Linked DNA regions of Stegostoma tigrinum. The protein of the gene in region 1 purifies or fractionates together with the protein of each later gene. This does not show direct contact. Links are inferred from orthologs where the notes say so. Each region holds a gene or a part of one and is shown on either strand. Other genes may lie near its edges.

Region 1 (15,698 bases):
GTGAAGTGGATGAACAGTTCAAGCTCCTCTTGGTAGCACGAGGCAGCGCCGATACAGTCATCAATGTAACGGAGGAAGAGGTGGGGTTTGGGGCCTGTGTAGGTCCGGAAGATGGTCTGTTCCATGTACCCTATAAAGAGGCAGGCATAGCTTGGGCCCATGTGGGTACGCATGGCCCCCACTTTGTCTGTAGGAAGTGGGAGGAATCGAAGGAGAAGTTGTTGAGGGTGAGGACAAGTTCGGCGAGGCGGATGAGGGTGTCGGTGGAGGGGGAACTGGTCGGGCCTGCGGGATAGGAAGAAGTGGAGGGGCTTTAGGCCATCTGCATGGGGAATGCAGGTGTATAGGGTCTGGACGTCCATGGTGAAAATGAGGTGTTGGGGACCGGGGAATTGGAAGTTCTGGAGGAGGTGGAGGGCGTGGATGGTGTCACGGATGTAGGTGGGGGGTTCCTGGACCAAGGGGGAGAAAATGGAGTCCAGATAGGGGGAGATGAATTCGGTGCGGCAGGAGCAGGCGGACACAATAGGTCGACCAGGGCAGGCAGGTTTGTGGATTTTGGAAAGGAGATAGAAGTGGGCAGTGTGAGGTTGGGGAATGATGAGGCTGGAAGCTGTGGATGGGAGGTCACCTGAGTTTATGAGGTTGTGGATGGCTTGGGAGATGATGGTTTGGTGCTTGGGTGTGGGGTCATGATCCAGGGGGCGGTAGGAGGAGGTGTCGGAGAGTTGGCATCTGGCCTCAGCAACGTAGAGGTCAGTGTGCCATACGACAACTGCACCTCCCTTGTCCATGTGTTTTATGGTGAGGTTGGGATTGGAGCAGAGGGAGCGGAGGGCTGCATGTTCTGCGGGGGAGAGGTTGGAGTGGGTGAGATGGGTGACGAGGTTGAGGCGATTGATGTCTCGACGGCAATTGGAGATGAAGAGGTCAAGGGAGGGTAGGAGGCCTGGGGGTGGTCTCCAGGAGGCGGACATGTATTTGAGGCAGGTGAAGGTGTCAGTGGAGGGAGTGTTAGGCTCATGGTTAGAGAAGTAAGCGTGGAGGCAAAGGCGGTGGAAAAACTGCTCGATGTCCAGACTTGACTGGTATTCATTGATGTGTGGGTGGAGGGGGACAAAGGTGAGCCCCTTGCTGAGGACTGACTGTTCATCCTCCGTCGGGGGAGGTCTGCGGGGATTGTGAAGACTCGGCAGGGCTCAGTGTGGCTGTATTCTCTGGGGCTGCTGGCTGTGGAGGCTGTGAGCAAAGCAATCATGATCCGGGGGTGGTAGGAGGAGGTGTCGGAGAGTCAGATTGCTGAGGCCAGACACCAACTCTCTGACACCTCCTCCTACTGCCCGCTGGATCATGGAACGTGCAGCTCTTCCCTCCCTCTGCTCCAAACCCAACCTCACCATAAAACCTGCAGACAAGGGAGGCGCGGTTGTAATATGGCACACTGACCTCTACATTGCTGAGGCCAGATGCCAACTCTCCGACACCTCCTCCTACCGCCCCCTGATCGCGCTCAAGCCGCACCTCCATTTCCTACCTACTAATCTCATCCCGCCCCCTTGACTTGTCCGCCCTCCATGGACTGACCTATCCCCTCCCTACCTCCCTACATACACTCACCTCTACAGGCTCCATCCCCACCCCTTTAACTTGTCTGTCTCCTCTCCACCTACCTTCTCCTCTAGCTATCTTCGATCCTCCTCCCCCTCTCTCCCTATTTATTTCAGAACCGTCTCCCCATCCCCCTTTTCTGATGAAGGGTCTAGGTCTGAAACGTCAGCTTTTGTGCTCCTAAGATGCTGCTTGGCCTGCTGTGTTCATCCAGCTTCACACTTTGTTATCTTGGATTCTCCAGCATCAGTTCCCATTATCTCTGAAGTAACTTTCCAGTTGCTTCTACCTCCACCTATCATCAATTGCTGTTGCTTGTGTGTGTGTGTTTTTAGGGAAGTCTTTATAGAGGGATTAAAGTTTAGCAGTGTCATATGTCAATAGTTTATATCTATATACTTGCAATTATCATCTATTTGTTTATAATAAATAATAATTTTCATTAAGTACAAACCTAGATGGTCTTTCCTATCAACCTTGGTTTGAAAGTCAGTTAAATTCGGGTACTGTGTTTACCTTAGAAAAAAATCTTTAACATTTGGTACAGCTCCAGAAATAGCAGAGCTCAATTTATGGTGAGTTGCATCGGTGGAGCCGTAACATATTTACAAGATTGAATTACTATCCCCCATTTTCTATTTACTGTTCAACACTAGGAGGTGAAATTGACCTCTAGTGATTGGTCAAACAAGTCAAAAATGAATCTTTAGATGTATAAAGGGAAAAAGAGAGGCAAAAGTAGACATAGGAAAATGACACTGGGAAAAGCAATATTGGGGAACAAAGAAATAGTTGAGGAACCGAATGAGTACTTTGCATCAGTCTTCACAGTGGAAGACGCCAGTAATACCACAAAAATTCAACAGAGTTGGGGGAAGATGTGCGTATGGAGGCCATCAACAAGGAAAAGATGTTGGAAAAACTGAAAGATCTGAAGGTGGATAAATTCACTGGACCAGATGGACTATACCCCAAAGTTCTGAGGGAGATAGCTGAAGAGATAGTGCACACGTTAGTGGTGATCTTTCAGGAATCACTGAAGTTAGCATGGGTCCCACAGCACTAGAAAATTGCTAATATAAACCCCCCATTTAAGAAGGAAGTGAGGCAAAAGACGGGAAGTTATTGGTCAATTAGCCTTACCTCGGTCATTGGTAAGATTTTGGAGTCTATCGAGAAGGATGCGATTTCTGCATACTTGGAAGTACATGATAGAATGGGCAAAGTCAGCATGATTTCATCAAGAAGAGGTCATGCCTAACAACTTTGTTAGAATTCTTTGAGGAGGTAATGAAGAGGTTAGACCAGGGAGAACCAATAGATGTTATCTACCTGGACTCCCAGATGCCTTTAACAAGGCGCCATACAGGAGGCTGCTGAGTAAGATAAGGGGCCATGCTGTTCGAGGTAAGTACTAGCGTGGATAATAGATTGGCTGTCTGGCAGAAAGCAGAGAGTGGAGATAAAATGGTCCTTCTCAGGGTGGCAGGCCAGCTGGTGTTTAGCTGTGATCCACAATCTTGTGGGACCACAACCTTTCACTTTATATCTAGATGAAGGAACTGAGGGAATTCTGGCTAAGTTTGCAGATGGTGCAAAGATAAGTGAAGGGGCAGGTAGTATGGAGGAGGTGAGGAGGCTACAGAAATATTTAGACAGGTTAGGAGTGTGGGCAAAGACGTGGCAAGTAGAATGCCACGTGGGAAAGTGTAAGATCATGCACTTTGGTAGGACATAAGCTAGTTTCTGAAATTCAGAAATTCTGAAGTGCAAAGAAGTCCAAGCCCAAATTCTCTTAAGGTAAACTTGTAGGTTGAATCCATAGTTAGGAAGGCAAATACAATGAATAAGGAGTGAGGGTCCAAAAGCTTGCATTTTTAAACAAACCTGTTGGACAATAATCTGGTGTTATGTGATTTCTGACATTGTCCACCCAGTCCAACACTGGCATCTCCATATCATGGCATTTACTTCAGGAAGTCCAGAACATAAAGGCAGAGATGTGATTCTGAGGCTTTATAAAGCTCTGTTCAGACCACATTTAGAGTACTGTGGGCAATTTTGGGCCCCAGACATCAGGAAGGATGTAGTAGCCCTGGAGTGGTCCCAGAGGAGGTTCACAGAAATGATCTCAGGAATGAAAAGCTTAACATATGAGGAACGTTTGATGACTATGGGTCTACACTTGATGGAGTTTAGAAGGATGAAATTTACAGGATTCTGAACAGCCTGGAGAGGGTGGAAGTCAGGAAGATGGTTCCATTGGCAGGAGACAATAGGACCTGAGGGCACAGCCTTAGAGTAAAGGGAAGATCCTTTAGAATGGAGATAAGGAGAAACATCTTCAGCCAGAGAGTGGTGAATCTATGAAATTCATTGCCACAAAAGGCTGTGGAGGCCAGGTCATTGAGTCTATTTAAGACAGAGATAGATTAGTTCTTGATTATCAAGGGGAGCAAGGATGATGGGGAGAAAGCGGGAGAATGGGCTTGAGAAACTTATCAGCAATGATTGAATGCCGGAGCAGATTTGATGGGCTGAATGGCCTAACTTCTGCTCCTATGACTTATGGTCTTATGGTCTTATGAATCAACAGCATTTTTTAGGCTACATTTGATCTTTCATTGAAGCCAAAGTAACGGCTAACTGAATGGAGTGTAAAGCTGGCTGCAGAGCCAATAGCTCCCACAATTCACAGTGAAATCCAAATGGGTATCCATTTCTACTCGATCTCAATCAGAACAAATTTATCTCTTCATTAAAACCAGCTCTTTCATCCTTTCATCTGACTTCTGATCCTTTAAAATAATTAGTAAATTATTTGTCAGTGAAGCCCAAGCCCTATGAAATTATGTATTAGTAAATTACGTACCCACTTTAAAATTTGAATAATTGGCGTAACTACATTAAAGCTTTATGTTTTAGAAGAATAATATTAATCCTATTCTATGACAAAATCACAAATGTCAAATTAACTTTAATGTTTCATTGGCTGTGACAACAATTTCTTTTTCAGTGTTTGTTTTCCGGACACAACCCAAAAGATTTACATTGTGCATGTAGAACATAATGAAATATCCACTTAAACCACTGTGCATCTACTGACCTTCCCCTTAATCCATTTTCCCAGCTCACATCAGACAACTCTTTCCTCATTTCTCAGTGACTGTCCTTATTTAAATTAAAGACACTGGTTTGAGGCCTGAGTCTCCCTTGTACAGAATTTGTAATTCTATAATATTGTGATTACTATCTCCAAAGGATCCTTATCCATGAGACTGCCTATTAATCCTACTACAGTACACATTTTTAGATCCAAACATAACCTTTTCTCTGGTAGGTAGCTCAATGCACTGCTCTAAGAAACACTTTTGCATGTTATCCTTCCCCAACTGATTTGTTCAGCAAATATGCAGATTAGAATCACTCATGACACTTGTATTGTTCTTCTTGCTGACCACTTTTATTTCTTGATTTATATATTGTCCTACAGTAAAACAACTCTTTGGCGACCGAAAGACTCCTATTTGTGAATTCTTTCCCTTGCTGTTCGTTATTTCCACCCATATTGATTCCACATCACTGCCTATTGCACTAATATCACTGCTCACCACAGGATTGATACCTTCCTTTAATAATAATGCTTAACTCAGCTCCTCTAGCCTATTTTTATAGAACATCAAATACCTTGAAATATTGTGTTAACAGTATTCGTCACCCTGGAACAACATCTTTATGATAGCTACTATGTTATATTTGTTTAATTCTACTTGGGCATCAGCTCATCAATCTTCATCGTGTTATTTTTGTTTAGAAACCTACGTTCTAAAGTAGAGGAGTGATGTACAGCTGTAAAATTGACTTCTGTTTCTATATTGTGTGTGTTGAGAAGGAAGAATACATAGTTAATGATTGATTTGAGATTTGTTCTGAGAATCATGCCAGAGTATCTGAAAGTTATTTACATGCAGTTCAATGAGGTAGCTAAATCCTTGATGTAAACAGTTCAATGAGGTAGCTAAATCCTTGATGTAAACAGTTCAATGCAGTAGACAAGAGAGTAGGAGGGGAAAACAATACTTTTATCACCAAGCAACAGGGCTCCACTGGTACAGAAAGTCAGAACCATTCAGAAGAGGAACTGGTGAACCTGTTCAGTCAAAGAGAAGAGGCTCTTAACACAGCAGAAGTGCTGTTAATAATAGCCTCCAGGGGTCAGAGCTGGGGAAAATGTCTTTAGAAGAAAACTTCAGAAGCAGAAAGATGTGACAAAGGTGAGTTTAAGGATCCCTTATGTTAAATAATTAGGGAGTTTCATTAGCGATTCTCTTAAGGGTCTTAGAGAGAAATATTAGCTAAAAAAAGGTATAGAGTGAATTCAATAATTTGCCCAAAAGGAACTGATTACACTGTGCCAACTGAACAAGAAGTTTTAAAGTGGAAAAAGGATGACCCTTCACTGAGATTTGAATGTCTGCAAAGTTGTTTTGAGGGTAAGAATAGAATCTTTATTTCTGATATTTGTAGTAAGGTGGTTGGAAATGATTCTTCAATAGTATAATATAATTCCTACTTTTTTATTTTGTAATAAACATTTATGTTTTGTTTGTTGAATGTACATTGGTAGCCTATTGAGACTTTGTTCAGTGATTAATGACCCAATAACTGAATAGAAAAAAATAAAACTTTTGCTGTACCTGGTTGCATTTCTCTCTGGAACTTATTTATTCCATCATGACCTTCCAATAGGTCAGTACAGCTAATTTAAAGACATTTATTTTGCAACTATAGAGATAGTAGGAACTGCCGATGCTGGAGAATCTGAGATAACACGGTGTGAAGCTGGATGAACACAGCAGGCCAAGCAGCATCAGCAGAGCAGGACAGTTTGACATTTCGGGTCAGGACCTGAAGAGGCGTTCCCACCCAAAACATCAAATGTACCTGCTCCTCTGATGCTGCTAGGCCTGCTGTGTTCATCCAGCTTCACACCGTGTTATTTTACAGCTATGTTTAAACATTTTCTTCTAACTTTTTGATTTATTAATCTGTTCTTCTTTTATCAGAAATTTTGGACTCTCTTGAACTTTTTCTTCTATCTTTGATATATTTTTATAGCATTTTCCTAACTATTTCATGACTTGTACATTCTCAGTATATTGAGTTGGTTGTGCATCTGCTTTTATGCATATCAAGATTCATCTAATCAGCTCTGCTTTTAAAGCTTCTTTATAAATAAGCATGATGCCTTTGGTAAGTCAAAAGAATGAGCTGCAATTCCACAAGCATTACACTATGAAATATTAATTTCAATTACAGGAATGCCTTTAAGTATTGGTGATTGGCCTCTCTAAATTGGCTCTGAGTTAACCATTCAGCGCAGAGTGTTAGAGTTCACAAATGTTGCTTAGAATGGACATGATCTGGTATACTGCACACCTCAGTATTGGTTCCCTTGAGTTCTCAATATCTATGTGAAGAGAACTTGTCTGTATTAAGCAAAATGACATTCAATATTGACATAATTGAAGGGAAAGGAACAAAAATGAATATCTGTTTTACAGCAGCAAAATGATTCTGATAAAATTACACAAGGAAGTGGCTGGGCAAAAGATGGAGTATTCAGTGTAGTATGGGATGCCTATTGTAGAGTGGACTGTAAAGTAAGAGAGACGAGACAGTAGATTCATGAGGATATATCGGGAATAAGAAGATATAATTTTGCAATAGATTCGAGAGAATAAGACTATTTTGTCTCAAAGAGTAGCCTTATCTCTACTTTCCTTTCTATTCGTTGTAATCATTGATTCTCTTGTTAGCCAAGACTTTCTAACAGCATTTTAAAATTATTCAAGGACTCTGACTTCACTGCTCTGTGGGGAACAGAATTACACAAACTCACAATTGTCTAAGAGAAATAAGTTATTCTCATCTCCCTTTTAGATGGAACACCACTTATTTTAAACTGTGTCCTCCTAGTTATAGTCTCTTCCCCAAGTGGAAACATCCTTTCAGTATCCACTCAGCCAAGTCTCCGTGGGATCTTACGTGGTCCAATAAGCTTTTTAAAACTTCTCTCTGCCAAAGTGTACAAATTCACATTTTCACACATTGTACTTCATCTGGCAATGTTTTGCAAACTCACTTAATCTATCCATATCCTTTGTAGAATTCTCATGTCTTTCTCACAGCTTATGCATATATTTATCTTTCTGTCATTAGCATATTGAACAGCCATAAATTTAGTCTTTGGAGTGAGACTTGAAGCAATCATTTTTTGACTCAGGGGTGCAGTCAATTGAGCCAAGGAAGTCATTGAGGACTTTGAGTCAATTTGCAACAAAGAGTATTACACAGATTCAGCACATTAAAAAGTATGAATGATTAGGACTCACACAGTTTTCTAAAGAAACCTTTTTTTAATTTGGAGGGGGCAAGGGAATCAAATGAGGAGTTGTTCAAAATGTGAATATATTAATAGATTGAGGAAAGCAGTGGTGAGTGAAGGCTGTTTTGGACACTGTTCAAGCTTAAAGTCGAGAACTTTACACCATCCTTGTGGAGGATAGTAATGTGAGGGAATTGGATAATCCTGCTGAAAAGGTAATGGTCAGGACAGAGAAAGAACAATCCTTTAAATTGACAAATGGTGTTAGAAGAATTACAGAGGTGGTTTGGAAAACACTAGGTAGAGAGGAGAAAGGGAAAAAAGAGTTCCACAAGGCAAGAACACGTTGAAACTGTGGGTGTCCTATGCAGCAGTTTCTATTTGATGTTCTTAGGAAGGAAGTTGTGTGGTATTGAGAGAATCAGTAATGTTGGGAAATCATGAAGGCTAGGTCTCCAGAGAAGATGAGGTCCATGATTGTTCTTGAAACAATTACTTAATGTTCAAAGCGAAGGTTATGCCACAGGGAGAGGGAGGAGGAGGTATCAGAGAATTGTCCCTCAGCCTATATAAGGCAGATGTTCCATTGTTAAATAACAAGTATTACCATGGTCAGCAGGTTCAATACATCGTTTGTTACTTGTCTGATTACTATCCCCTTGGCCCTTACAACATAATGCCATTTGTCATTAATGTTGCTTTTCCAGCAACATGGGCACATATTTGTTTTGGATAATAATGCTAGAATGGGTGGCCTGCCTGCATTAAGCAGCGTCTGATATTTAAATGCATTGACTGCAATGGAACTGAACAGGAACAAAAACAAAGTTGCTGGAAAGGCTCAGCAGGTCTGGCAGCATCTGTGAAGGGAAAAATCAGAGTTAACATTTCAGGTCCGGTGAGCTCTGAGGAAAGGTCACCAGACCTTAACTCTGATTTACAGCATCCACAGTTCTATCGGTTTTTATTTGGAACGGAACAGGAGCCGTGGATAACGGGTGGTCAATTTGATATTGTGATCAGAGATAATGGGAACTGCAGATGCTGGAGAATCCGAGATAACAAAGTGTGAAGCTGGATGAACACAGCAGGCCAAGCAGCATCTTAGGAGCACAAAAGCTGATGTTTCGGGCTCTGATGAAGGGTCTAGGCCCGAAACGTCAGCTTTTGTGCTCCTGAGATGCTGCTTGGCCTGCTGTGTTCATCCAGCTCCACACTTTGTCAATTTGATATTGCCCATTCCTGGCCCCAGCATCCACAATACATTTCCAAGCCCTTCTGTATTATACGAGATTTCAGCCAGCGTTTTGCCTTACTTAAGTGCATTATGCATTTGCTAAAATAATTTGGAAAAAGTTGAGGTCGGTGATTTGTTGTGTGAACATGTGTGATTGCGATTCCCACAGCCAGCAGCAAATGACAGCATGTGCTGGTGCTGAGCCCCTGGTGACACATCATCAGAGTGCGTCCGCCGGCTCCACCCGCGCCTATCGCTGTCAGCGGGAGGGATGGAGGGCGGCGCCGATCCGGAGGAGCAGCAGCAGCAGCAGCAGCAACAGCAGAAGAAGAAAATGAGCTCGGAGCGGAGGAGAGCCGAGCTCCGCCGGAGAAAGCTGCTGCTGAACTCGGAGGAGCGGCTGAACCGTATCATGGGTTTCAGTAGGAGCGGGCCGGGCCCGGGTGAGTGGGAGTAGGGATTGCGGCCTGGTCCTACCCTCCCCGTGCTTCAGCCCCTTAGCAACCGACCCACCCCGGGCAGGGTTAGAGAGGGCGGCTGTAAACACAGGGGGCACCATCACTCCTCACCCCAGCCTCGTTTTATTTCCACCAGCTCCATGAATCAAAATCAATAGCCGGGCCGGCTGTTCTCCGCCAAAGCAACAAAGCCCACTCTTATTGAAAGCAAATGCAGCACATTTCCAGGGCGCGGTGGGAGCGAGCCTGATGAGGAGTGTGGTTCTGAAAATGTGATAAATTCTTGTACTAACGACTCAAGCTTGAGAGGAGGGGTGCGGCGGTGATGGTTAGTTTAAAAATCACCTTTTTAGCCTTCGTTTTGATTGTTCTCCTGATGCCTGGTTGATTGGCTTAACTATATCTTAAGACAGTGTTTAAAACATTGGCTTTGAGGGTTTGGAAAGTATTGGTATGTCTACATTCAAGATAAAGATGCCTTATTTGTGAGTGGAGTTTAAGGGAAGAAAGAGAGGGTGGGGCAGTATTAATTTTCTGTCTTCACTGAGTGCAGGATAAATAGTCTGAAGGAGGCAGAATTTTCAAATGGCAAAATCAAACTGTGTCTGGATGGTGTTTGTCTATCTGACAGTATTAATTCAGGAGGGGCTTGAACTGTACTACTTACAATAAGTGATATTTACAGCTGTCAATGTTGGAAGAGTACATATTCTGTTTTCACAATAGATAATTATAAACCCATGAGAAGCTGATATTTTTACATCTGAGGAAGGGTCACTGGACCCAAAATGTTGATTCTGATTTTCTCCTTTACAAATGCTGCCAGACCTGCCGAGCTTTTCCAGCAACTTTGATTTTGGTCCTGATTTGCAGCACTCTGCAGTTCTTTTGGTTTTTATTTGACATTTTTACAGATATCATACAGTGCACACTAATGAATTGCAGTAATTTTGTGTTGTGACAATACTTGTGGCTGAAAATTTTTTTTTGGATAAAATAAACATTTCTGATCTGACTTATTTTGGAAGAGTGGGTTGATGTGCAATAATGGAAATTTTTCAGAGCAAAGGACTAGAACCCATTGTTTTGGCCTATCTAATTTAGATAGGATTTTCAGCAATCTGGAATAATGGCTAATTTATCAGATATGTATACATGAACATTTCATAAAAATGTTATTCTATTCATTTCTACCAGTAACAAATTGTTACGGTAACAAACAGACATTGTTCTGTTTCTGGGCATTTCAAATGGAAATTTCAAATCACAAGCTTTTGGAGTGCTGCTCTTTCTCTAGATCTATTAATTTCCTCTCCAGTGGTCTCAAACTCTGTAAACAGCCATGCCAGACCCTGGATCACACGCTTCCTGTGCATCTGGATTCTACAGTGACCTACTGTTGATTAGTCACTGTCCCAAAAATAGCAAGCATCTTTTTTTTGTACAATCCCTTACTCATTGTGACCAATGCAATGAGGCATCAGCTATTCAGTAAGTTGTCTTTGTACCTATTACATGCATCTATTAACAATCATTATCTGTATTTCAAATGCCCAGAAATAATAGAACATAGAACATAATAGCACAGTACAGGCCCTTCGGCCCTCGATGTTCCATGTATTCCATATACGTCCATATGCTTGTCTAATGACGACTTAAATGTACCTAAAGTTGGCCAATCTACTACCATTGCAGGCAAAGTGTTCCATTCCCTTACTACTCTCAGTAAAGAAACTACCTCTGACATCTGTCCTATATCTTTCACCCCTCAATTTAAAGCTATGCCCCCTCGTGCTCGCCATCACCATCCTAGGAAAAAGGCTGTCCCTATCTAACCCTCTGATTATTTTATATGTTTCAATTAAGTTACCTCTCAACCACCTTCTCTCTAATGAAAACAGCCTCAAGTCCCTCAGCCTTTTCTCGTAAATCCTTCCCTCCATACCAGGCAACATCCTAGTAAATCTCCTCTGCACCCTTTCCAAAGCTTCCACATCCTTCTTATAATGCGGTGACCAGAACTGTACACAATACTCCAAGTGCAGCCACACCAAAGTTTTGTACAGCTTCACCATAACCTCTTGGTTCCGGAACTCGATCCCTCTATTAATAAAAGCTAAAACACTGTATGCCTCCTTAACAGCCCTGTCAACCTGGGTGGCAACTTTCAAGGATCTGTGTACATGGACACCGAGATCTCTCTGCTCATCTACACTGCTAAGAATCTTAACATTAGCCCTGTACTTTGCCTTCCGGTTACTCCTACCAAAGTGTATCACCTCACACTTGTCTGCATTAAACTCCATTTGCCACCTCAGCCCAGCTCTGCAGCTTATCTATGTCTCTCTGCAACCTACAGCATCCTTTGTCACTATCCACAACTCCACCGACCTTAGTGTCGCCTGCAAATTTACTTCTATTCCCTCATCCAGGTCATTTATAAAAATGACAAACAGCAGTGGACCCATCATCGACCCTTGCGGTACACCACTAGTAACTGGTCTCCAGGATGAACATTTCCCATCAACTACCACCCTCTGTCGTCTTTCAGCAAGCCAATTTCCGATTCAAACTGCTATATCTCCCACAATTCCATTCCTCCGCATTTTGTACAATAGCCTATTGTGGGGAACCTTATCGAACGCCTTGCTGAAATCCATATACACCACATCAACCGGTTTACTCTCATCTACCTGTTTGGTCACCTTCTCAAAGAACTAAATAAGGTTTGTGAGGCACGACCTTCCCTTCACAAAACTGTGCTGACTATCCCTAATCAATTTATTCTTTTCTAGATGATTATAAATCCTTTCCCTTATAACCTTTTCCAACACTTTACCACCAACTGAGGTAAGGCTCACTGGTCTATAATTACCAGGGTTGTCTCTACTCCGCTTCTTGAACAGGGGAATCACATTTGCTATCCTCCAGTCATCTAGCACTATTCCTGTAGACAATGACGAGTTAAAGAGCAATGCCAAAGGTTCGGCAATCTCCTCCCTGGCTTCCCAGAGGATCCTAGGATAAATCCCATCCGGCCCAGGGGACTTATCTATCTTCACCTTCTGAAGGATTTCTAATACCTCTTCCTTGTGAACCTCAATCCCACCTAGTCTAGTAGCCTGTAACAATAGTTTGTTACTTTAAGCTATGTAAAATATGCTTTGCCTGGTAATAAAAGGCAAAAGATAATTTATTGAAATTTCATTGAGAAAAGGAAATGCTAGGAACACAGCTGGTCAGTCAGCATTTACAAGTTATAGAAATCTATCTGATTTAAATATTGTGTATACTCAAAAAATACATACTTGAAATGTTACAACCTGTTTTTCCTTTGCTAACTGACTTGCATAGTTCCACGTTTTTACACATTTCCTGTTACACTTTGGTAGTCCACTCAACACCAAGTGGTGTTGCGCTTCTGTGGAATCACTTAGCCTGGTACCATGTGGGTTTGGTGCTAGTCAGGAGCAACTGTCTTAAAATTCATTTTGGTCAACCTATTTGAATATTCCTTTATCATCTTTTCTTTAACCACTTGTATAACATTTTTATAAACAAATCTGGCATGATATCTGTTATAATCACGAACGTGGATGTTCATTTCACATTATTCTTTAATTCTTGACCACCTCAGCTTGTGAAGCAGCATTGAAAATTGTCGTAGCCAAGTTCTCCCATTGGAAACATGGTGGTTCAAATGTTTTGTTTAAGCCAACTTATTTACAGGTTTCCAATACAGGTTTAACTATCTGAGAGGAATGTTTTGCATATTTTTCTCTTAGTGAAGCATAACTTCAGAATATTTATTCTTGCATCCCAATTATGACTGATTCCACTACAGTTCCAGAGAAACCATTATAATGCAATCTGAAGATGGTGGTTGATACATTCTTGTGAACTGATTTAGACCTAGCTTGGTATCAGAGATAATGGGAACTGCAGATGATGGAGAATCCAAGATAATAAAGTGTGAAGCTGGATGAACACAGCAGGCCAAGCAGCATCTCAGGAGCACAAAAGCTGACGTTTCAGGCCTAGACCCTTCATCAGAGAGGGGGATGGGGTGAGGGTTCTGGAATAAATAGGGAGAGAAGGGGAGCGGACCGAAGATGGAGAGAAAAGAAGATAAGTGGAGAGGAGAGTATAGGTGGGGAGGTAGGGAGGGGATAGGTCAGTCCAGGGAAGATGGACAGGTCAAGGAGGTGGGATGAGGTTAGTAGGTAGGAGATGGAGGTGTGGCTTGAGGTGGGAGAAAGGGATGGGTGAGAGGAAGAATAGATTAGGGAGGCAGAGACAGGCTGGACTGGTTTTGCGATGCAGTGGGGGGAGGGGATGAGCTGGGCTGGTTTTGGGATGCGGTGGGGGAAGGGGAGCTTTTGAAGCTGGTGCAGTCCAAATTGATACCATTGGGCTGCAGGGTTCCCAAGTGGAATATGAGTTGCTGTTCCTGCAACCTTCGGGTGTCATCATTGTGGCACTGCAGGAGGCCCATGATGGACATGTCATCTAAAGAATGGGAGGGGGAGTTGAAATGGTTTGCGACTGGGAGGTGCAGTTGTTTATTGCGTGGGAACCCTTCAGCCCAATGATATCAATGTGGACTTCACCAGCTTCAAAATCTCCCCTTCCCCCACTGCATCCCAAAACCAGCCCAGCTCATCCCCTCCCCCACTGCATCCCAAAACCAGCCCAGCCTGTCTCTGCCTCCCTAACCTATTCTTCCTCTCACCCATCCCTTTCTCCCACCTCAAGCCACACCTCCACCTGCTACCTACTAACCTCATCCCACCTCCTTGACTTGTCCGTCTTCCCTGGACTGACCTATCCCCTCCCTACTTCCCCACCTATACTCTCCTCTCTACCTATCTTCTTTTCTCTCCATCTTTGGTCCGCCTCCCCTTCTCTCCCTATTTATTCCAGAACCCTCACCCCATCCCCCTCTCTGATGAAGGGTCTAGGCCCGAAACGTCAGCTTTTGTGCTCCTGAGATGCTGCTTGGCCTACTGTGTTCATCCAGCTCCACACTTTACTATCTTAGATCTAGCTTGGTGTTAATGATTTGTACCTTTCAAAACATACAGACAAAGTTAGAGTGACGATGGTAGTACAAAACAGTTGAGAATGCATCAGGAATACTTGAACCACTTGCACTTCTGCTTTATTGTTTTAATTGTGGGATACAGGAGAGCAGACGTAGTGTTAGTCAGTCCCTGATAGATGTGGCAACTATTGTATGTTGTTTTGACTTGAACCCTCACCAGATGAAACAAGTATATGATCAATTATGGATGAATGCCAACACTGTTTTTGCTTAATACCTTCACATCAGAAATAGCCTTCAGAAATAGTGTGCAAGTTAACTTTTTCTAAGAGTGAGCAGTTAATTAAGTTAGTATATTCCTCACTTAACTGGGGATATGTTAGAATCCGTCCTAGGCTGATATGAAAATCTCTTTAGTAACCCACCAAGTCCCTAAATAAAACAAATGCAGTGTGGAGTGTTTTTCTTAGGTTAGCATTAAGGCACATGATATAAGAAATTACACACTTTTTACTTGCACAGTGTCTAATCAGGCATGAAATAGGGCATTGGTGAAGAAGAAAATTACCTGAACTTCCAATAATGGTGAACATCACTGTAAAGAATTCAGGAATGTCCTGCTGACTTGAAAAAGGCTCAGATGAATATTTCTGTAAATTTCGAATGCTGTTAATAGGAAAGACAAATATAATCGTTCTCATTTTTCCTTCTATTTCAGAAGAGGAGAACCGAACAGATTCTCTTCCACCGTTTGAACTGGAGAAGACAGAGTCGCTGCAAAATTCTAGCCTTCCAAAAAGAACCCCAGGAATCTCAAATGAAACTGCTGATGGCTCAGTGGCATCCATTCATTACACTAACGGAAAAGAGCTTCAACAACCATATTCTGTAGACACAAGAGACTCGCTTAGCAAAATTAATGAGGCTGACAATAGTTTAGGGCCAGGAAATCGGCACTTAGGC
Region 2 (15,790 bases), on another chromosome or scaffold:
TATTAAAAGCACAAAAAGCCAAGGCAAGGTATGGTAGAAATGCTGAGAGTCTCAAGGTAAGCTCAGAGTGAGTGAGTGCTATGACAGTGAGTGAAGAGCCCAGAGATACAGCCTGGTCCAGTTGGTGTACATCTCTGAGCGCACACATTGTATTGCTGCAGCAAGGACACTAACGGTTGCCATTTCAGCCTGAGGTGCAGACGTAGCCTGTAAGTGAATCAGAGATGCATCATGAGGGCTGTCAGGTGAAGACACATATTGGATGCCAATGTCTATGGATTGGGGGTGTGCTTGGCGATTGCTCATGGAGGTTACCTGGAGACATTGAGCACCAATGAGCTGAATTCATGCACCTGCTGTTGTTTCCATACCCAGTTTTCTCGCTGTCTAGCTTGATGGGTCAGATGGGAAAGATTAGGAAAATAGAAAGCTGAATATTAATGACGAGTGTTTGTCTGTCAACAAGGTTTTTAATAAGGTATAATCCCTCTCCACTGGCAACTTGCCACACCACTTGTGAAAAAAAATACAATTTACCTAATTGTACCACAAACAACACCATAGCCTACAGCGTTCAGACTCCAATAAGGTTCCACTCTAAGAATTTAACTATTTTAATATCTTGCAAGACATATTTCGTTGCTGAATTAAGATTTCAGCACATTAATCTCAGCACAAAAATCTATTCATTGTACCAATGCTTCATTTGTCTGCAGCTGAAAAACGAGAAGAAGCTTTAAAGGTTGCTGTTTTGTTTGTTTCAAGCTAATTTTGCTAGCAGGAAATGCAGCTAAAACTAATACAACGTGAATCATCTCATTTCCTCTCTGAGTGGAGAGGTTGCGATTCATGATTCTATTTATGCATTGAGGCTTCCCCTTTTAGTTGCACAGCTTCCAAATGGGTTTCACACACAACCTTTTCTGTACGAAAAAGTGAACAAGAAAGCAAATCCCCCGCCCCTTCTTTGTCACGTATTCTGTTTGACTAATTTGGCCTTCAATGCTGTGGTTGACTCACATTATGAAAGCTATCCAATCAACTCCCCTGCAACAAACTAATTCAAAAGGGCTCACAGACTAAGAAATGCATTTATAATTTTTTCAAACATTGCTGAAACACAGTCAAACTGAACAGTGCTTTAAAATAAATTAGCATTTTTTGAGTCATAGGTTCTGATAACACTTACCCATTGATACAAAGGGGAGGAGTTTGATCCCAAAGAACAGGTGGGAAATTAAAATTGTTGCAAGTTAAAGCACAACTACAAACCATTTTGAATATACCCATCTCAACATCAACTCCACACTTCACTAAGTTTTGCAGCATCAGGTCAAGCATAGAGAAGTGATATCTCCTGGTGATTACCAGTTACCACACCGTTAAGCAGATGAATCAGTACTTCTCGATGTTGGATAGCACTTGGGGGAAGCACTGATTGCGGCCAGGGCAAAGAATTTACCCTCGGAATTGGGTGACTTCATTGGCCACCAAGAGTGGCTCACTAGTACCAGTACTGATTGAGTTGGTGATGTACTGAAGGCCATATTGACTAGCCTGGACTGGCAACACAGCAAGGGATCTAACAAGGGAAACACCTAGATCACCAATCTGTCACACAGTCTGTTCATGAGAGCTTTGAAAGTAGTGAACAATGCACAGTCCTTGTGCAGACCAAGTCCAGTCTTCATATTAAACAGATTAACATTAATATAGATAGAGCTAAGTAATTCCAAAATCAACAGATAGATTTAAACTCGAATGCCCTACCATATCTCACTGGTGAATGGTCATGAACAATTAAATAACTCAAGGAGGAAGCTCCACAAATCTACACATCTTCAATGAAGGGGGCTATTCAGCAATTCAATGCAAGGTGATAAGACTGAAGATTTTGCAACCGTCCTCAGCTAGAAGGACTAAGTGGATGATCCATCTTGGCCTCCTCCTGAGATGCCCGTCATCACAGAAGCCAGCCTTCAGGTAATTTAATTCACTCCTTTCCAAGTAATATTAAGTAGCAGCTGAAGGCACTGGAGACCGCAAAGTCTACGGGCTCTGAGGGCATTCTGGCAAAAGTACTTAAGACTTTCTATCCAGCACTCATAGCAAACCTAAACTAGTGTAAATACTTCACTGGCACCTATATGGCAATATAGAAAATTGCCCGAGTTGTCCAGTCCATTAATAAAAAGGGATAGTCCAATTGAATTCAACCAGGCAGAGCAATCTTAGGACCTCCAAAGCCCAGAGAACATTGCTGAGATACTCATGGGCAATCAGAACAGGAATCTGTGCAGCTTGCCTCTACCTCTGCCAAAGCACTATGTAGGAGTAGCAGAACAGCCACAAGAACGTCAGTATGTGAACTAAATAAGGAACAAAAACAAAGTATTACGCGAGTCAGATTCCATGCTGTACGACCCATCGGTCCAACCAGTCCATGCTGACCATGTTCCCAAACTAAAACAGTCCCACCTGCCGACATTTGGCCCACATCCTCCCAAACTTTACCTAATCATGAACTTATCCAAATGTCTTTCAAATATCATAAATGCATCTGCACCCACCACTTTCACTGGCAGTTCATTCCACACACAAATCACTGTGCAAAAAAAAAAGTTACCCATCATGTCCTTTGCAAATTTTTTTTTCCTCTTACCATGAAAATATTCCCTATAGCTTTGAACTCCTCACCCTAGGGGAAAAACCCTTGTCATTCACTTTTTCCATTCCCCTCAACTTTATAAACATCAATAAAGTCACCTAATCTCCTACACTCAAGTGAAAAAAGTCCCACTCTTTCTAGTCTTTTTTTAGATCTTAAATCCTCCATTCTTGGCAACATCCTGATAGTTTTTCCAAACTCTCTCCAATTCAATAATCATATCCTTCCTATAATAGGGCAACTAGACTATATACAGAAGAGGCCTCACCAACATCCTGTGTAATGTCAACAAGGCATCCCAACTCTTACACTCCAAGGTTTAAGCAATGAAGGCAAGCATGCTAACACCTTCTTGACCACCCTGTCTACTTGTGCTACAACTTAAAAAGAATTATGCACTTGAACCCCATGGTCTATCTGTTCTACAACACCACCCAGGCTTCTACTATTAATTATACAAGTCCTGTCCTTGTTTGTATTATCAAAATACAGTACCTTGCATTTATCCAAATTAAATTCCATCTGCCACTCAGTGCATTGATCAATTGATCAAGATCTCTAACCTTGGATAACCTTCACTATCCACTATAAGGCCAATTTTTGGTGTCATCCAAAAAGTTAACCATGCCTCCTATAGTCTTGTCCAAATCATTTATATAAATGACAAAAACTAGCAGACCCAGTACTGTGGGACATTGCTAGTCATAGGCCTCCAGCCTGAGAAACAGCCCTCCATCTCCTTCTTTTATTCTTCTTTCCTTGTTCATTCTTGAAGAATTTTTAATAAATAGCCTGCCAAGTTGTGTGCTGGTAATAGTGGAGGAGGTGTGAAGTTACATGAAATCAATGCAGAGGGAGAAGTCTAAGAGATCAGCGCAACACAATTTGTGATCAGCAGCAGTGAGCAAATGGGATCTGAGGGATGAGAAGAGCCATTGCATTTTCCAGTGACATGGATGTAAGGGTACAGCTGAAGTCAACTGTGCGATAAGAAGAAGGGCATTTCCATCATCGTAGGCAAAAACGTGAGCCGATGGAGATACCATCCTAATCACCTTTTTGACTCTCCCCTATCACTTTTCTGGAATGGCTCAAGAGCAATCTTAGCCCTTTGCTTGTTCCTCAAGTAGTGGTGGGGTTACTGGTGTACATCCTGGGCCACGTTTGAAGTATCAATGTCAAGTTATCCTTGATATTGATCAAAGGGAAGCAGGCTTATATTTCTTTTTGTGTATTCAATAGCTTCGGTTTGAACTCCAGAAAATCAATGACAAATGGGTTAAAAAAAATACACAGCTTATTGATTCTTTAAAGTAAAAGTAAAATTCTGTTCACACATCAAACTGTTTCTGGCATTTTCAGTTTACATCTGCACTTGTCAGAAATAGTACTGCAAGAGAGTTTGAAATCTTTACAAAATGGTTAAATGACTAATGATTATGCACAAATTCATGATAAAATATCTGCATTTCAATTCAGTCTCGAAATTTGCTGTAAGCTGACCAGGGAAAGCCCCTGGAAGTTCTTCCTTCTGTTAAAACGAGAAGTTTCACATTCTGATTGACACAGGCAAATGTACTGAGAAACAGCAGAAGATAGCCACCTGGAACGAAGAGAATGTGAGTACCATATCCAAATGTATAAAGTTCTTAAGCATGTTGTTAGTATGTCAAATGTTAAGAAAATAGTATTCAACCATTTTTGAAAGGATCCGTTTGAACTATTAGATTCCCTCTCCACAAAATTTCCTTATTTAAAACAAATTTGCATCATCGCACTGGGATTTTGGTTCAGCTTTATTTAAATACAGCTGTCTCACTGAATCAGCCCTTCCCCACAGCACTAAGGATTTCAGTCCTTCGCCAAAAGTTTCACCGATTGCATTTAAAAGATCATATATACAATGGAATAGCTGACCAGTGCAATTGTTATATCTGCGTTTGTGGAAAGCTCACATCTGAAACATTAACTCCATCTCTCTCAGAGAATGCTGCATGGACCCGAACATTTCTAGCTTGCTTTATTCCTGACCTAGAGGATACATTTGAATAACTTAAATTATTTGGATCTTGCTTATACTGGTGAAAGTTGAAGAAGGAAATAGGTACACTGCAGAGTGCAGAAAATAAAACTCAGGTCGACAAATAAAATATTGATCTGTTAGTTAAATGCCGCAGCTGACATAACCACCAAGAGAAAATGGAAGCAAAAAAAAAAAATCACAAAAGTAATCCAGGTCAGATAGCACTTTGAAAGACTCCACAGCATATTTTATTCCTAACATGAATACAGTCCAAAACTAGTTGGCTTCAGGAGTCAAATTAACAAAGCATGTGTGTGTTAGGGTAGCTATCTAGGAAGTCCCTACAATAAAGGCAGAAAGAGGGAAGGATAAAACAAAACCCAAAGCATTTCAGTTGTGTCCAAGTTCAAACCAGATATATAGCAATTACCTAACCATAAATTTAAACCGTGAACAACAAAAAGGGGAGTTACTATTGCTGCAAGTGTGCAATCTGGCACAGACAGACTATACACCTTTATTACAACACAACTATTGGATTAATGCCAACTGCAGTGTGTTCAGGAATGGAATCTGAGTAAAGCGGATAAAAATCAAAAGGACTGCGGATGCTGCAAGAACAAAAACACAAGTTGCTGGAAAAGCTCAGCAGGTCTGGTAGCATCTGTGAAGAAGAAAAAAAAAAGAGTTAACATTTCGGATCCGGTGACCATTCCTCAGAACAGTTAAGTGGATCCCAGGCTTCATAAGCACATTTTGGAATTAAAAATGAATTTTTCATGCAATGATCATTTTTTCTTCCATAATTAATTGGCTCATTAACAAAGGTGCAGGAAACATGACTGAGGCCATCTTTAATTGTTATTTAATCAGTCACACTTGCATTCTTTCTTCTTGAAAAGAAAAACCTTCAGATGAGTCATTTTTCTTTCATCTCTTCAGCTTACTAACAACCATTTAACGCAGCAACTCTCTATTCCATTTATCTTTTATGTTTATGTTTTCAAGTTGGAAGAGGTGGTGACAGGCTGTATTTATTACTTAACACCAGATTTTGAGTGGTTGTGGGATTTTTTTTTACTTGAACTACAGACAGGTGATCCCATAAAATATTAGATAATCGTATTCTCATCAAAACTTTTGATTCCTACTCTGTTAATTATAACAATATGTAACATTTTCCTTTTGCTAATTTTAACTCTGAAAAATAGAAGCAGATAATACCGGGGCAGAATTTCTTCTACAAAATAATATTTTTGTTGTTCCTATTAGCAAAACAAATGCAACTACTTGAATTACTTACTTCATTACTTTACAATAGATGTTCAATCTGACATTCACTCAAAACAAGTAGAAATTCTCTTAATCATTGATACCTGCACAATCCCTAATTTAACGAGGGGCCCCAAATGACACTCAATAGATAGAGTGCATTAAAATCTGAAACCTATAATCAGAGAAACTTCGATTAAAAATGATCAGTAGGATTCTCAAAGTCACTTTGGTTCTTTGAATTCAAACAATTTTTTTTTGATACATGTATTGTTGTAATGTGTGTTTCCAATTCTTGGAATCTACTTTGTTTTATCTTGAATATACTTAACTCTTATACCCAATCATGCCAATGCAGAACTTGAAGAATTTGCGTAGTTTGTCAGATCATTAAACAAGAACTTATCCTTTTTCTAAACTTTATTTAAATTTCTGAAAGACGACGTTCATATAATATTGATTGAAATGATATCACAAGGCATTACATTATTTGTGAAAACTCAAAGCAAGGCCAAATCAAACCACATTTAAAAGATTCAGGAAGTATGATTAAGGTATGCAAAGCTGCAATGACTACATTGTTTGAAGCCTGGGTTTCAAAAGCAGGCAGCATGTTGAAGGAAGTGCAAGATTATGGGAAATAACAGGCTCCACATATTATAGCTTGTGGAGAAAAAAAAAGGAATCCAAGTAATATTGTCCCTTTATCTCCTCAGTAGGAGATGTTATCTTTTGAGCTTCAAAAAAGAAGTGGTGTTCAGCGAAGTATGTGAATCTTATTACTGCTCAAGATGCCTATTTCTATATTTTGTATTATCAAGTCTTGTCCAAGCCCGAATTCCAGGATTCGCACTTAATGGGCTAATGAAAATCAAAGAAACTGAGTAAATAACTACCAGGTTCGGTACAGAAAATAAAACTAAGGATGAAGGATATGTTCACAGAGATGCTTTGAATAAGTTGAGTTGCTCTTTAGCAGTAGTAAATCGTGAATGCATAGGGACATTTAGAAGATGCATGCGCTTTGTCCTTCTTACCAAGTTTTCCCACTGTAATACCAGACATCTCAAAATTACTATACAGGCTATTTTATTTTTCCGTGAATTTGTGTGGCTATCATATTTCACAATGAGATTAGCACGAGTGCAGCAACAAAACAGACACTCATCAGCAACAGCACATGTTGGACCAAAACAACAACCAGCTAATTTTCCCTTGTAGCTGGGTACCGTAATATTTTCTTGCTCATTAAAAAGGACAACTTGTGTTGGCCTACACAGGGATTCCAGGGTTGTACTATGGTCAAATGACCATGCAGATTAGGAAAAAACAGTGGATGCACGATAATCGGACCTTTTACATAAGATCAGGTACAGAATTAGATGCATGGAAAAGTTCCTTCCAAACCACAAATGGCAAACAACCCCAGGGCAAGTCCAACAAAGATTAGATGCTGTGTAAAGCTTTCTCTGCACAGTTTGCTCAGTGTGTGTGAACGGCAACATTCTGGAGGAGTTAATGAACAATCAACTATTTTTCAAATAGTATTGTTATCACCAGCCAGACACATTCCAAAATGTTTCAGCCCAACCACCTTCCTGCTATTGGTCATCCAACAGAGCTGTCCCCGTGTAGTTCTGCTTTCCAGCTCCAGGAAAGCAAACAGACTCTTACATAATTCAACAGTTCTTGACTTACAGAAAAACAGCCTCTTATTTTTAAAATGAATTGTAAAGTTATTCAAAGAAAAAAAAGTTTTTACATTCACATGACGACCTTTTCTCCTTGCAGCACTGTCCAGAAAATTAAGCTTCAATCTCTGAAATACCTAGGTCAAACCTGGAAAGGTTAGCAACACCATTTTAGACTCCTTTTTAAGAGCTACAGGTGCACAATAGGCAGCTCCAATGAGCAGAAGATGGGGTAACTGGCAAGAAATATGGCACAGCCATATTTGCATCATTTCAATCTGCTGCCTTTATCCACTCCTATCCAGGTAGGTACATCTCACCAAGTCCAGGCACTGAAAGCGTTGGGGGGCTGGGTGGGTGTTCAACGACAGGACTTGACATTAATTCATGGAAGAGCTTGAGATACAATTTACCCTGATCTAACAAAAAAGGGCAAGAGTGGAATGAAATTCTAAAACAATTTAGTGGAAAATGCATGTCTTGGTGAGGTTAGTTTTAGATACAGGAATAAAATTCATAAGATTTATAGCTGTTGATCAGCTGAATGCAGTTCAGGAATTAATATAAAGATCAGCAAGATTGAAAAATAAAACATGATTATGCAATGGTGCTATTTACATGAAGGCAATAGCAAGTTAAAATCAAATCTACATTTAAATCCAATGCAAATATAAAATGACAAAAATAAATTGTTTGAAAGCAACATTATTGGCTGTTGCAGATTTTATGTAACAATCTCTCAATATATCAACACACATGGTCAACCTATCAAGCAGGTACAACTCACTCAGCTTTACTCCCACGTAGGATTTCACTTGAAATGAAGATCTAGAGTTCTGTAAGAGATCCCAGCCAAAAGCAACAAATCCTGTTAATTTCTTGCAAGGCACTTTCAATAAAGGTGGAACCTGCAAAATTTATCCACAAAGTTAAGCATCAGGCCAAAGTTGAAACCATTTCACATTAATGTGAAAGCGTCATCTTAAATGCTCCTAGCAGGGTCAAAGTATGGTCTATTTTAACCTAATTCAAAAATATACCGTGTCAATTGCTTTTTGCATTTGGAATCCACTATGACTAAATATTCCACTTGCATAAGTTTTGGTTTTACTTCAGAATTAAACAATAATTGAAAACACAAAAAAGGTGTCTTTGCACATATATTGTCTCCTTATCTGGAATCATCTACTGTAATCGCATTTCCCCATCCTTATCTCACATTCTTTAAATGGATTCAATATTTAATAAATTCCTTCTTAAAATAAGCAACTGTCAGATTCCAAAATGTGATACTTCACACTTCTTGTGCGTCACATCTCTTCCCACTCTGCAAGCCATCTGTGACTTATTGCAATCTTCAGACTTCTTTCATTGCTTGTAATGCCTCCAAATATTGATACATTTCAACATAATACCTCATGCCTATTTTCAAAGCGTTTACATGAAATCAAAAAAGATGTCCAATGCACCTATGCTACACATGATATTAACTTGATGCTGTCAATCAAGTAATTTAGAATTATTCATCTTGTTTTGACCCCACAACCATTTTCCATTAACACACACACTTTAAGATAATGTGCCATCATTTTGTAACCAAGTCTCCCAAGGCTCAGAAACCTTTCATAATCTATTGTATTCTCTTTATCTGTCTACTACAGATCAATGAGTTGAACTCCATCACGGATCAGACTAAATGGCCTACCATCTCGTTCACTGTTGAATATAATTGCAAAGCTTATTTTGCAGGAAATTTGTTGCGCAGCTATTTGGAATGTTGAGGATATGAAAGTCTCTATGAAACTTATTTTAAATCAATCTGTAACAAAATAATCTTAATTGATTTTAAAGATCCCACCGTCCTCTTGTTGGAGAGGGGATGGGCAGCTGTTCAGATGAGGAGTTCTGGGATCGTCTCTTACGACGATGCGCCAAGTGTACAAATTGTGGGCATAACTGGAAAAGTGCGTGCAAGACATATTGTGGTATGTGTCCGTTCACTACATGTTTTTGAAGCCTTTTTGTTTGAAGTTAAGCCGAAAAATATTCCTTTCTTCAGTACCAAAGAAAGAAAGGAAGCCAACGTCAGCAGGCTGAGGATCAAATCTTTGGCTGTTTCTGACTCGATATGTATCCTCTCGACAATAGGTGCTGGAGTAGGCCATTCGGCCCTTCGAGCCAGCATGATCATCCACAATCAGTATCCTGTTCTTGCCTTATCCCCATAACCCTTGATTCCACTATCTTTAAGAGCTCTATCCATCTCTTTCTTGAAAGTATCCAGAGTGTAGGCCTCCACTGCCTTCAGGGGCAGAGCATTCCATATATCCACCACTCTCTGGGGGAAGAAGTTTCTCCTCAACTCTGTTCTAAATGGCCTACCCCTTGTTTTCAAAACTGTGTCCTCTGGTTCTGGACTCCCCCATCAGTGGAAACATACTTCCTGCCTCCAGAGTGTCCAATCCCTTAATAATCTTATACGCCTCAATCAGATCCCCTTTCATCCACCTAAACTCAAGCGTATACAAGACCAGTCGCTCCAATCTTTCAACATATGATAGTCCCACCATTCTGGGAATTGACGTCGTGAACCTACGCTGCACTCCCTCAATAGCCAAAATGTCCTTCCTCAAATTTGGAGACCAAAACTGCACACAATACTCCAGGTGCTGTCTCATCAGGGCCCTGTACAGCTGCAGAAGGGCCTCTTTGCTCCTATACTCAATTCCTCTTGTTATGAAGGCCAGCATGCTATTAGCTTTCTTCACTGCCTGCTGTACCTGCATGCTTGCTTTCATTGACTCATGTACAAGAACACCTAGATCTCGTTGAACTTCCCCTTTGCCTAACTTGACTCCATTTCAATAGTAATCTGCCTTCCTGTTCTTGCCACCAAAGTGGATAACCACACATTTATCCACATTAAACTGCATCTGCCATGCATCTGTCCACTCACCTAGCCTGTCCAAGTCACCCTGTATTCTCATAACATCCTCACATTTCACCCTGCCACCCAGCTTTGTGTCATCAGCAAATTTGCTAATATTAGTTTTAATGCCTTCATCTATATCATTAATGTATATTGTAAATAGCTGCGATCCCAGCCCTGAACCTTGTGGTACCCCACTGGTCACCGCCTGCCGTTCCAAAAGGGACCTGTTTATCACTACTCTTTGCTTCCTGTCAGCCAGCTAATTTTCAATCCAAGCCAGTATTTTTCCCCCAATACCATGTGCCCTAATTTTGCTCACCAATCTCCTGTGTGGGACTTTAATCAAAGGCTTTCTAAAAGTCCAGGTATACTACATCCACTGGCTCTCCCTTGTCCATCTTCACAGTTACATCCTCAAAAAATTCCAGAAGATTAGTCAAGCACAATTTCCCCTTCGTAAATCCATGCTGGCTCTGACCTATCCTGTTACTGCTATCCAAATGATTCGTAATTTCACCTTTTATAATTGACTCCAGCATCTTACCCACCACTGACGTCAGGCTAACCGATCTATAATTCTAACCTGGTAGAATTCCATCAGCAGGACTCACTTACAAGCTAGACAATAGAAAAGACAGGGAAACTAAAGGTAGTTGATGCATCTACAGGCTGTGCCAATCTAATCCAAAACCCGGTCAAATTGTATCAGTGATAATGGGAACTGCAGATGCTGGAGAATCTAAGATAATAAAATGTGGAGGCTGGATGAACACAGCAGGCCCAGCAGCATCTCAGGAGCACAAAAGCTGACATTTCGGGCCTAGACCCATCCAGAGAGGGGGATGGGGTGAGGGTTCTGGAATAAATAGGGAGAGGGGGGGAGGCGGACCGAAGATGGAGAGAAAAGAAGATAGGTGGAGAGGAGAGTATAGGTGGGGAGATAGGGAGGGGATAGATCAGTCCAGGGAAGACGGACAGGTAAAGGAGGTGGGATGAGGTTAGTAGGTAGGAGATGGTGGTGCGGCTTGGAGTGGGAGGAAGGGATGGGTGAGAGGAAGAACAGGTTAGGGAGGCAGACACAGGTTGGACTGGTTTTGGGCTGCAGTGGGTGGAGGGGAAAAGCTAGGCTGGTTGTGTGGTGCAGTGGGGGGAGGGGACGAACTGGGCTGGTTTTGGGATGCGGTGGGGGGAAGGGGAGATTTTGAAGCTGGTGAATTGTGCGAAGTTCTGACAGAAAAAAAGTAGAGAGGAGGAAATAAAAAAACTTTAGGCCAAGTTAAGTGAAACCATTTTGCTGGAGGGGGGTTGGGACCCAAAACATCAGCTTTCCTGCTCCTCTGATGGTGCCTGCCTGCTGTGTTCCTCCAGCTCCACACTGTTCTAGTAAGAATTACCAATGCTGGCGTCAGAGATCTTTAAGCAAAACTCATGTTCTTTACCAATCCTGCTGAAAACATGCTTTAGGAGACAGAAGCAACTAATTAGTTACTCCCATGTACCTGTAACATGGTAACATGATAATAAAGCTAATTCTATTCTATTTTATTCTTTCAATTATACAGAACTTGCTCAGCTCTCGTTAAACAGTAGTGAATCCATAACTATCAGACACAGCAATCTATTCCAGAGTTCATGATGCCTTGAGATTAAATACCACCCACCCTTAGATTCTTTTTTTGTATTTTGACAAGAGCACAACCTAATTTTTTTCTAATTTAACTCAATCTATCAATCTAAACAGGATTTATTCCCTTCATTTTAAAAATTATATCACCCGAATATCAACGTTTACCCAGTGAAGAATACCCCAGCTCCTAAATGCTAACCCGATAGCTATAAACAGTTGTATAGAATGTTTTACCTTTATCTACCCGAGATCAGTAATCTCATCCATTGTTAAACCTGATTTTCATTGCATTGAAATGAATGGGACAGAGATTCACACCTATGAATAACAACCCAGGCGAAGATGAAAATTTACTACTTAATCCTCTCCTCAATTCTCTTATTATTTGTGTTTTATAGCAGTAAGTGATCTATGGAAAATATAAGTTGACTTGCTTGCCTTTTGTAACTAACTTTTTAAATCAGAAAGTTGGAGCTGCAATGAGGCTGCAGGATTTTATTGGGACAAACTGCTGCGCAAATGCATCAAGTGCTCAGATGTGTGTGGGCAACATCCTCAACAGTGCTCAGAAGTTTGCTACGGTAAGAAATTAGTAAACAAAAAGTTATTTTTGTAAGCACAAGTACATAAATCAGGATCTTGATTATTTTGGCTATTAAAAACAGTACTTTTCTGCACAGGACTTTGCTGCATATATATCCATCCTGATTACTGTATTCACGCACTGGACAATCACAAAGACATTTCCAGCAGTTTATAATATCAATAGCAGCCAATTAACTCAGTTGGCTGAATGGCTGTTTTCAAAGCAAGGTGAAACACTGCAGATTTGATCTTCTCACTGGCTGATGTCCCACTTTCTCAATCTCACCCCTCAACTGAATCATGGTGACCCTCAGGTGAAGCTCATCACCAGTTGGTGTTCTCATAATCCTCTGGCACTACAGCGACTGTGCAGTCAATTGCACTCAAGTGACAGGGTTGTGTTGTTATGGTTTATTTTCATTACCAATTTTCTGTCCCTGTATATCTGAGCACTTGCAGCACTGAATGTGGATAAGCTGCTTGGTGATCGTTCACTGCCTTTAGACTACATTTCAGGTAAACCTGGTACTACAGAGGAATAATAGACTTAAGACTGCAGGATAGATGTAGCCCAAGTAGATGAAATGCTAGTTTTAGCAGTCTGGATTCCACTAATTTTTCAGGAGCCATGCATAAGAAATTGAGAGGATGCTTTCAATTAGATTGAGATTTAGAATCAGAACCAAATAGTGTCAGTGCCAATTTGAAAAATGAGTTGTGACAAAATATTTTAACCCATGATTTTATGATGCTGGGGAATTTGAGCACAAACGCAGAGCACAGCACTACACATTCAAATTCATAGCATCAGCTACACACATTTTGAATTATTCCCCAACCTTTTCCCACCAAAGGTTGGCTGATTTCTCAGCCAAGTAGCAAACCTCATGCCAAGTAATCTTGATATCAAGGATGGATCTTTGCAGGCAAGCCAGTTGGTGAACTTCAGGGGAAAAATAAAAAAAAAAGAGTACAGCATTGGGAAGCTGTTCAACTGCTTTCCATTTCTCTGAGACCTCCGGAGGAGCTGACATCATTGACAGTTGTGGGAACGGCTTGGTGGTCAGTAATAAGGATAAGTTTCAGGAGAAAATGGAAGTATCTAAGAGTTGGCATTCTGCTTCTGCAAGATAGAGGGCAGCACACCAGAAAACACAGACAATTCTTCACGAAGGACACAATCTGGTTACATATCCATTCCCAAGCTTGCAATGGGGAAGTGGGAAGCCTCTCTGCTTCTTTTTGGGAGGCGGCCTGGATAATCTCCATCTACTACTACCCTTCTTTGCCAGGCTGAGCTGACTCACACTGCGAACATTTCCCATTTAGCTCATCTCACTCTCTCAGGATCAAAAGATGACCAAGGGTCCCAGTAACTTGGTCTGGTCATAGGGCATAGAGAGTATATACCTTGTTCAGGTTGTACCCAGGGCACTCACCCCCACAACTGTGTCTCCAATACAGTGATAATATTAAAGTTAAAAAATTTTCTTCCAACTTTCATCCTGTTGATGTCATCTGTTCCATCTCATATTTGTTCCCTTACTTTCTGTTGGAAGTTTGGGGGAAGAGGCTAGCTACCAGTACCAATTACAAACCCACAATTGCTATAATTACTTTGACCACACTACCACACACCCCCTTCTTATAGAAGAGCTCCTGTCCATTCTCCTTGTTATTTCATCGCATCTGTTCATGATGCTACCATTCACATAGGTACCTTTGAAAGAACATAGAATATTACAGCACAGTACAGGCCCTTCGGCCCTCGATGTTGTGCCGACCTGTCATAGTGATCTCAAGCCCGTCTAACCTACACTATTCCATGTACATCCACATGCTTATCCAATGATGACTTAAATGTACCTAAAGTTGGCGAATCTACTACTGTCGGAGGCAAAGCGCTCCATTCCCTTACTACTCTGAGTAAAGAAACTACCTCTGACATCTGTCCTATATCTTTCACCCCTCAATTTAAAGCTATGCCCCCTCATGCTCGCCGTGACCATCCTAGGAAAAAGGCTCTCCCTATCCATCCTATCTAACCCTCTGATTATTTTATATATCCTCAGCCAATGGTTCCCCCAACTGTTGTTGACAGAGCCCTCAGTTCTTCTGGACCCAGTCGCAGCACTTGCCCCTCACAGCTTCCTCTCCACTAGGTTTCCCCTAGTCTTTTACTTTAAAATGATGAGATTGGTCAAGAAGAAAGTACCACCACATCCAGCAGGAATGCCACCAAATATCACCCCCACCCTTGTCAACATTGTGCAGGGACTGGCCCCTCAGCAACGAGTCCACTCCTAACATGCCTCTCTTCCAGCTCACTCCATGTAAATCACAGAAGGTGAAAAACTTGTCCTTTCATCTCCTTCCTTCTGTGTCCAAGTTCTAAGCAAAGTTACCAGGAGAAAGCAATGGTTTTCTTGTATTTGCTATTTAATCTATTGCATTTGCCACTCTCGATGCAGCCAATTTTTGGTTTGGTTTGGTTTTACCGGATGATCCCATTGTAGACCTCCTCTGTCCTTAAGAATAATACTTCCTCCCCCCCTCCCCCCCACACAATTACGTGCCACCTCAGTCCACCCCCTCACAATCGTACCAACACTTGTGTCTTAGGCCTGCTGCAGTGCTCCAGAGAAACTCAACACAAGCTGTAAGTGAGACCCCATCTTCCACGCAGGGACTTAACTGCCTGCAGGACTGAATATTTGAGTTGAAGAATTTCAGAACACGAACTATCCTCCACCTTGATTACATCACCTTCTTCTCCCCCTCCTCCACCACCACACTTTCCCCGGCCCCTCAGAATAACTGTAGTTAGCATGGGTTCGCTCTCCGCAAAGCAAATCTATTTTAAATATCTACATGTACCATTAGCACCCGTGTTGCATCTTTACTTTTATTTTGAGCTATTAGCACTGCCATTGACTTATGCTCTGGGAACTATGACCATCTGTCCTACTCATTCCGCCAACCCCTGTCAGTC

Evidence for each region.
Region 2: the proteins of camlg (region 1) and tumor necrosis factor receptor superfamily member 13B purify together in Homo sapiens (affinity purification with western blotting; 3 studies listed by BioGRID and IntAct, with this or other methods). This does not show direct contact. The link is inferred for Stegostoma tigrinum from reciprocal best matches to the Homo sapiens genes CAMLG and TNFRSF13B.

The regions. Positions count from the first base shown.
Region 1 is NC_081366.1:30,781,138-30,796,835, forward strand, and holds the start of camlg (calcium signal-modulating cyclophilin ligand), read left to right. Parts: upstream 1-9,470; 5' UTR 9,471-9,504; coding exon 9,505-9,676; intron 9,677-15,453; coding exon 15,454-15,698. UniProt on the Homo sapiens protein: Required for the post-translational delivery of tail-anchored (TA) proteins to the endoplasmic reticulum.
Region 2 is NC_081376.1:20,340,544-20,356,333, reverse strand, and holds the start of tumor necrosis factor receptor superfamily member 13B, read left to right. Parts: upstream 1-7,766; 5' UTR 7,767-7,870; coding exon 7,871-7,959; intron 7,960-9,505; coding exon 9,506-9,639; intron 9,640-12,677; coding exon 12,678-12,794; intron 12,795-15,790. UniProt on the Homo sapiens protein: Receptor for TNFSF13/APRIL and TNFSF13B/TALL1/BAFF/BLYS that binds both ligands with similar high affinity. Mediates calcineurin-dependent activation of NF-AT, as well as activation of NF-kappa-B and AP-1.